Callithrix jacchus: one gene and its partner. The protein of the gene in region 1 binds, or shares a complex with, the protein of each later gene. Links are inferred from orthologs where the notes say so. Each region holds a gene or a part of one and is shown in the gene's direction. Other genes may lie near its edges.

Region 1 (3,519 bases):
TAAACTATGGCTCACACCATGAAGAATGCATGGATCAGTCTGTGTCTCTGAGTATCTCTGAAACCTCTAAGACATCCAAGCTTACCTTCAAGGAGAGTGTGGTGATAGTGTCAACCAATGGGAAGGTTCTGAAGAAGAGACGGTTGACTTTAAACCATTCCATCACTGATGATGACCTGGAGGGCATCGCCAATGACATAGAAGAAGGTAAGGGGTCAAGCACAATAATATCCTTGTTTTCAAGGATTTTTTTATTTTTAATTTTATTGTACTTTAGGTTCTGGGGTACATGTGCAGACCATGCAGGATTGTTGCATAGGTACACACACAGCAATGTGGTTTGCTGCCTCCATCCCCCCGTCACCTACATCTGGTATTTCTCCCCATGTTATCCCTCCCCGACCTCCCACCTCCACATCCCTCCCTTGGCCCCCACCAACAGACCCCAGTGTGTGATGCTCCCCTTCCTGTGTCCAGGTGTTCTCACCATTCAACACCCACCTGTGAGTGAGAACATGCAGTGTTTGATTTTCTGTTCTTGTGTCAGTTTGCTGAGAATGATGGTTTCCAGGTTCATCCATGTACCTATAAAGGAGACGAACTCATCGTTTCTTATGGCTGCATAATATTCCACAGTGTGTATGTGCCACATTTTCCTTGTCCAGTCTATTGTTGATGGGCATTTGGGTTAGTTCCAGGTCTTTGCTATTGTAAACAGTGCCACTATGATTATATGTGTGCATGTGCCCTTATAAAAGAACAATTTATGATCCTTTGGATATATACCCAGTAATGGGATTGCTGGGTCAAATGGAATTTCTATTTCTAGGTTCTTGATGAATCGCCACACTGTCTTCCACAATGGTTGAACTAATTTACACTCCCACCAGCAGTGTAAAAGTGTTCCTATTTCTCCACATCCTCTCCAGCATCTGTTGTCTCCAGATTTTTTAATGATCGCCATTCTAACTGGTGTGAGGTGGTATCTCAATGTGGTTTTGATTTGCATTTCTCTAATAATCAGTGACGATGAGCATTTTTTCATATGTTTGTTGGCCTCATGTATGTCTTCTTTTAAAAAGTGTCCGTTCATATCCTTCTCCCACTTCTGGATTGGTTTGTTTGTTTTTTTCTTGTAAATCTGCTTTAGTTCTTTGTAGATTCTGGATATTAGCTCTTTGTCAGATGGGTAGATTGCAAAAATTGTTTCCCATTCTGTTGGTTGCCGGTTCACTCTAATCATTGTTTCTTTTGCTGTACAGAAGCTCTGGAGTTTAATTAGGTCTCATTTGTCTATTTTGGCTTTTGTTGCCAATGCTTTTTGTGTTTTAGTCATGAAATCCTTGCCTATGCCTATGTCCTGAATGGTTTTGCCTTGGTTTTCTTCTAGGGTTTTTATGGTGTTAGGTCTTATTTTTAAATCTTTAATCCATCTGGAGTTAATTTTAGTGTCAGGTGTCAGGAAGGGGTCCAGTTTCTGCTTTCTGCACACTGCTAGCCAGTTTTCCCAGCACCATTTATTAAACAGGGTATCCTTTCCCCATTGCTTGTTTTTGTCAGGTTTGTCAAAGATCAGATAGTTGTAGATGTGTGGCATTGCCTCCAAGGCCTCTGTTCTGTTCCATTGGTCTATAACTCTGTTTTCATACCAGTACCATGCTGTTTTGATTACTGTAGTTTTGTAGTATGGTCTGAAGTCAGGTGGTGTGATGCCTCTGACTTTGTTTATTTTGCTTAGGTTTGTCTTGGCTATGAGGGCTCTCTTTTGGTTCCATATGAAGTTTAAGGTGTTTTTTTCCAGATCTGTGAAGAAGGTCATTGGTAGCTTGATGGGGATAGCATTGAATCTATAGATTACTTTGTGCAGCATGGCCATTTCCATGATATTGATTCTTCCTAACCATGAGCATGGAATGTTTCTCCATTTGTTTGTGTCCTCTTTTATTTCCTTGAGCAGTGGTTTGTAGTTCTCCTTGAATAGGGCCTTTACATCCTTTGTTAGTTGTATTCCTAGTATTTTATTCTCTTTGTAGTAATTGTAAATGGGAGTTTGCTCATGATTTGGCTCTCTGTTAGTCTGTTATTGGTGTATAGGAATGCTTGTGATTTCTGCACATTGATTTTGTATCCTGAGACTTTGCTGAAGTTGCTTATCAGTTTAAGGAGATTTTGGGCTGAGATGATGGGGTCTTCTAAATATACAATCATGTCATCTGCAAATAGAGATAATTTGACTTCCTTCTTTCCTAATTGAATACACTTTATTTTTTTTTCTTGCCTGATTGCTCTGGCTAGAATTTCCAAATACTATATTGAATAGGAGTGGTGACAGAGGACATCCTTGTCTAGTGCTGGATTTCAAACGGAATGCTTCCAGTTTTTGCCCATTCAGTATGATATTAGCTGTAGGTTTGTCATAAATAGCTTTTATTATTTTGAGATATGTTCCTTCAATACCGAGTTTATTGAGGGTTTTTAGCATAAAGTGCAGTTGAATTTTGTCAAAGGCCTTCTCTTCATCTATTGAGATAATCAGGTGGTTTTTGTCTTTGGTTCTGTTTATGTGGTGGATTATGTTTATAGACTTGTGTATGTTGAACCAGCCTTGTGTCCCCAGAATGAAGGCTAATTGATCATGATGGATAAGCTTTTTGATGTGCTGTTGCAATCGGTTTGCCAGTATTTTATTGAAGATTTTTGCATCTATGTTCATCATGGATATTGGCCTGAAGTTTTCTTTTCTTATTGAGTCTCTGCTGGGTTTTGGTATCAGGATGATGTTGGCCTCATAAAATGATTTCGGGAGGATTCTGCCTTTTTGGATTGTTTGGAATAGTTTCAGAAGGAATGGTATCAGCTCCTCTTTGTACGTCTGGTAGAATGCTGCTGTGAACCTGTCTGGACCTGGACTTTTTTGGTTGGTAGGCTATTAATTGCTGCCTCAACTTCAGCCCTTGTTATTGGTCATTTGAAGGTTTCAACTTCTTCCTGGTTTAGGCTTCGGAGGGTGCAACTGTCCAGGAATTTATCCATTTCTTCCATGTATACTGGTTTATGTGCATAGAGTTGTTTGTAGTAATCTCTGATTGTAATTTGTGGAGTCAGTGGTGATATCCCCTTTATCATTTTTTATTGCATCTGATTCCTCTCCCTTTTCTTTTTTATTAATCCTGATAGTGGTCTGTCTATTTTGTCGATCTATTCCAAAAACCAGCTCCTGGATTTATTGATTTTTTGAAGGATTTTTTGTGTCTCTATCTCCTTCAGTTCTGCTCTGATCATAGTTATTTCTTGTCTTCTGCTAGCTTTTGAGTTTTTTAATCTTCTTCCTCTAGCTCTTTCAATTTTGATGAATGGGGGCCGATTTTAGATCTTTCCTTGCTTCTCTGGTGGGCATTCATTGCTATAAATTTCCCTCTAGACACTGCTTTAAATGTGTCCCAGAGATCCTGGTATGTTGTGTCTTCGTTCTCATTGGTTTCAAAGATCATCTTTATTTCTGCCTTCATTTCATTGTTT
Region 2 (4,288 bases), on another chromosome or scaffold:
TGTCTTAAACGAACAAAAGAAAGCAAAAAAAAAAATTAGCCGGGCTAGCGACAGTGCCTGTGTAATCCCAGCTACTTGGGAGGCTGGGGCAGGAGAATCGCTTGAACCCGAAAGGCAGAGGTTGCAGTGAGCCGAGAGCATGCCATTGTACTCCAACCTTGGCAACAAGTGTGAAATTCCGTATCAAAAACAAACAAAAATAGGGCTGGGCAAGGTGGCTCACGCCTGTAATCTCAACACTTTGGGAGGCCAAGGAGAGAGGACTGCTTGAGCCCAGCAGTTCGAGACCAGCCTGGGCAACATGGTAAGACCTTGTTTCTATTAAAACATAAATTAAAAAAATACGAATATCTGGGCCTAGATTAAACCAGAATCTCTGGTAGTGAGGTTTGGAAATGAATAATTGTGGGGTGGGGGAAAGCTACCTAGGGGTGCTTCCAATGTGCAGCTAAAGTAGAGAAACACAGATTTACAGAGTGAAAATACAGGTATGCCTAGTTTCAAAATTGGATTTCAACTCCAGAATTAAGTAGGGTCTTTAACAAGGAACTGAGGATCTGGGGCAGTGATTAGGAAAGGTTTTCTATATTCACCTGGTAATTAGCTCGCAGAGAGCCCTCCACAATATTTAACCCTAACGCTGCCATTAATTTCCAACATTTCTCATTTAATCTCCCTACCATCCTCAAAGCCCTGTCAAGACTCCCACTTTTGCTCAACCCGCCAAATAAGTTCCCTTTTTATCCCTATCAAACCCAACCTCCCTCAATCCCGCCACCAGGTTCCAGTTCAGCCCCTCCCCCGTCCCCTCGCAGGGGCTCCGCCTCCTCCCCGGGGCCTCCACGCTCCGCCACCTGAGCCGTTTCCACGTGCCACCACCCGCTCTCCGCATCTACTGGCCCCTTCCACTCCCCAAGACTCCCTGCTCCTTCTCACTACCGAAACTCACCGAAGGAAACAGACGCCAGGGTTCCTCCCGGGGCTGCCACCACGGCTCCGGCAGGCGGGCCGGGGACCGGCCGAACCTGAATTGACGGTGGAGGGGCTCGGGTTAGCTAGATGGGCGGTTGGTTAGATGCGTAAGCTGTAGTATGCGAACTTAGTTTGTTGTTGCTGGTTGGCTGTCTAGTCGGCAAATCCGTCTGCTCACTCGGCCTGCCCTTTCCCGACTTTCGTCTGCAGCGGCCGCCAGCTCCGTCTCAGTGTCCAAAACAAAATGGCCGCCACGTCCCGTGCGTGTAGGACCGGCTAAAATGGCGTCTACGCAATTACGTCAGGAGTCAGATCTGCGCACGACTAGAGGGCGGGAAAGATTTGAGCTACGCCTGCGCAGAAATCAGAGGCGGAGCCTTATGGCGAAGGCGGGGCTTGAGCAAACGTTACTTTAGCGTTGCAAGCAGTGCTCCGTCCCCCCAGGGGCGTGGCCAGTGGTCCCGTAGTGGGGTCGTGCAGGGTTACCGTAGGCCGTTACCGTAGTGGTTGCACGGCGACTTCCTGGGGTAGTTCGTAGAGGGGATTTTAGTCCCGAGTTCCCTCGTCCCCCCGTTCCCCAGCCAAGGTACACAGTTTAAAAATCTTTACACGGGCGGAGCGCGGTGGCTCACGCCTGTAATCCCAGCACTTTGGGAAGCCGAGACGGGCGGATCACGAGGTCAAGATATCGAGGCCATCCTGGCCATGGTGAAACCCCGTCTCTATTAAAAAAAAAATAAAATAAAATCTTTACATGGACTTGCCTCATCTTCTACCGGACCACTGGGCCTGGGGAATTTGTACTGGTTTTCCCCTCATGTCCACTCGCCCAGTCTGAGAGTTGTGAAGTGCCGTAAATGCTCCGGCCAAGGCCCAGGAGGCCAGTATTGGGAGCACACTCCTCGCGGATCCTTCGCCGGCTCCACGGCCGCCCGTCCATGTTTTCCTCCTCACTTCCTCCTCTCCCCACAATACTGTTTAATCCTTCTTGTGAGGGCACCTTTGCATCTCCGATTTCTCTTCCATGTCCTCCCTCCACACCTGCCATCCGTGTTGATTTTGTTGCAGACCTACAAAGGGATTTATCTTTTCTCTCTGATTTTTTGTTGTTGTTTTGCGACGGGCTGTTCAGGCTGCAGTCAGTGGCACAATCAAGGATCACTGCAGCCTTGATCTCCTGGGCTCAGATGATCCTCCCACTTCAGCCTCCCGAGTTCTGGGATTATAGGCGTGAGCTATGTGCCCTGCTCAATAAGGAATTTTTCTTTCTTTCTTTCTTTTTCTTTTTGCAGATGGAGTCTCCGTCACCCAGACCGGAGTGCAATGGTGCAATCTCGGCTTACTGCAACCTCTGCCTCCTGAGTTCAAGCAATTCTCCTGACCTCAAATGATCTGCCCTCCTCTGTTACCTAAAGTGCTGGGATTACAGTCATGAGCCAACGCGCCCGGCCTCAGTAAAAGATTTTTTAATGGTTTTGTACACAATACAGTGTGCATACGTTTGATTAATGAGAGAATGCAACCCCGCCCCATAGGCACGTCAAGACCCTTTCATTTTTCCTTCCTGGCATTTCTGCTCACAGGTGTGTGCGCGTGTGTGTGTGAGTGTGTAAGTAATGGCCCAGCATCCTTACCCATGTGAAGATAAGGATAGTGATTATTTTGCTTACTCCTGGATCCTGTGTTCCTACACAATGTTTACACATAGTACCAGTTAAGTAAATGTTCATTGGTTGAAAGGAGATTCTTTCGGCCGGCGCGGTGTCTCAGGCCTGTAATCCCAGCACTTTGGGAGGCCGAGGCAGGCGGATCACAAGGTCAGGAGATCGAGACCAGACTGACCAATATGGTGAGACCCCCGTCTCTACTAAAAATACAAAAGCATTAGCCGGGCATGGTGGCGTGCTGCTGCAATATCAGCTACCTGGCAGGCTGAGGCAGGAGAATTGCTTGAACCCGGAAGGCAGAGGCTGCAGTGAACGGAGATAGTGCTACTGCACTCCAGCTGCCTGGGCAACAGAGGTACACTCCATATAGTCTCCTTTCTTTCTCTTTCCTTCCTTCCTTCTTCCCTTACTCCCTCCCTCCCTCCTTCCCTCCTGGCTTTCTTCCTTTGGTCTTTCTGTCTTTTTTTTGACAGTCTCACTCTGTTGCCCAGGTTGGAGTGTAATGGCGGGATCTTGGCTCACTGCAACCTCTGCCTCCTGGGTTCAAGCAATTTTCTTGCCTCAGCCTGCTGAGTAGCTGAGACTACAGGCACATGCCGCTGTGCCTAGCTGATTTTTGTATTTTTAGTGGAGATGGGGTTTCACCATGTTAGCCAGGATGGTCTTGATCTGTCGACCTCACATCTGCCCACCTCGGCCTCCTGAAGTGCTGGGATTACAGGCATGAGCCACTGCCCCGGCCTCTTTTTTTTTTTTTTTTTTTTTGAGAGGGCTCTTGCTCTGTTGCCCAGGCTGGAGTGCAGTGGTGTATCTCGGCTTGCTGCAGCCTCGGCCTCCCGGTTTCCAGAAATTCTCCTGCCCTAGTCTCCCAGGTAGCTGGGATTACAGGCGCATGCCACCACGCCTGGCTAATGCTTTTGTATTTTTAGTAGAGATAGGGTTTTGCCATGTTGGCCAGGCTGGTCTCGAACTCCTGACCTCATGATCTGCCTGCCTCAGCTTCCCAATGTGCTGGGTTTACAGGGGTGAGCCACGGCACCCTTCCTCTGGTTTTATAGCTGAGAAGCTGATGTCTCCTCGACTTCCAACTGGAACCTTGAACCCCCACTTTCCTGGACCATGAGCATTCCTCAAGTAGGGAGATATAATGCACCTCAACCTCTTTCTAAATAAGACACTTCCCCACATAAGGGGAGTTGGCAGTGAACAGTCTTCACTTCTCCACCCACTTCCAGGTCCCAGAGGAGACAGACATCGGATGGCTGGCGAGAGAAGAGCCTTTAATGAAAGATGAGTTGCAGGCTTGGACCGCTACTCTTGCGCCCTTGGTGTGTGTGTGTGGGGGGGCGGCGGGCAAGGGTGGGATTATGGATAGGGACGGGGTGTGAGGTGGAAGCAGGGGGAAGAGGCAGGTCTGGCAGGGTGGAGAGGGAGGGCGCTGCCGAGTGGCTGCTCAACTGTTCTCCCAGAAGAAGTTGTTACAGGCCACTGTGAGAGCAGCCACGAGCACCACATACTCCTGGAAGTCCACCTCCCCGTCTCCATTCTCGTCTAGCTCCTTCATCACCTTGTCCACAGCATCCACATCCTTCTGGGCCTGTGGTGGGAGGAGAGGGAGAGGGAGGTGTATAGGGAGGTGTACAGCACTG

Evidence for each region. The genes of interacting proteins can lie anywhere in the genome.
Region 2: the proteins of IL1A (region 1) and S100A13 are in contact, whole or in part, in an NMR structure (PDB 2L5X), measured with the Homo sapiens proteins. The link is inferred for Callithrix jacchus from reciprocal best matches to the Homo sapiens genes IL1A and S100A13. Residues at the interface, in NP_000566.3 of Homo sapiens: Asn148, Gln150, Tyr151, Thr194, Ala195, Gln196, Asp197, Leu203, Leu204, Lys205, Glu206, Met207, Gly216, Ser217, Glu218, Thr219, Asn220, His239; in NP_001019381.1 of Homo sapiens: Met1, Arg25, Gln26, Glu27, Gly28, Arg29, Lys30, Asp31, Ser34, Asp68, Ser69, Glu70, Lys72, Phe73.

What each region holds. Positions count from the first base shown.
Region 1 is NC_133515.1:21,801,741-21,805,259, forward strand, and holds part of IL1A (interleukin-1 alpha), read left to right. Parts: coding exon 1-207; intron 208-501; exon of another isoform or gene 502-585; intron 586-3,519. UniProt on the Homo sapiens protein: Cytokine constitutively present intracellularly in nearly all resting non-hematopoietic cells that plays an important role in inflammation and bridges the innate and adaptive immune systems.
Region 2 is NC_133519.1:14,050,495-14,054,782, reverse strand, and holds the start of S100A13 (protein S100-A13), read left to right. Parts: upstream 1-1,474; 5' UTR 1,475-1,558; intron 1,559-3,874; 5' UTR 3,875-3,922; coding exon 3,923-3,967; exon of another isoform or gene 3,968-4,092; coding exon of another isoform or gene 4,093-4,236; intron 4,237-4,288. Other genes in the region: S100A1 (protein S100-A1), read right to left, coding at 4,093-4,236. UniProt on the Homo sapiens protein: Plays a role in the export of proteins that lack a signal peptide and are secreted by an alternative pathway. Binds two calcium ions per subunit. Binds one copper ion. Binding of one copper ion does not interfere with calcium binding.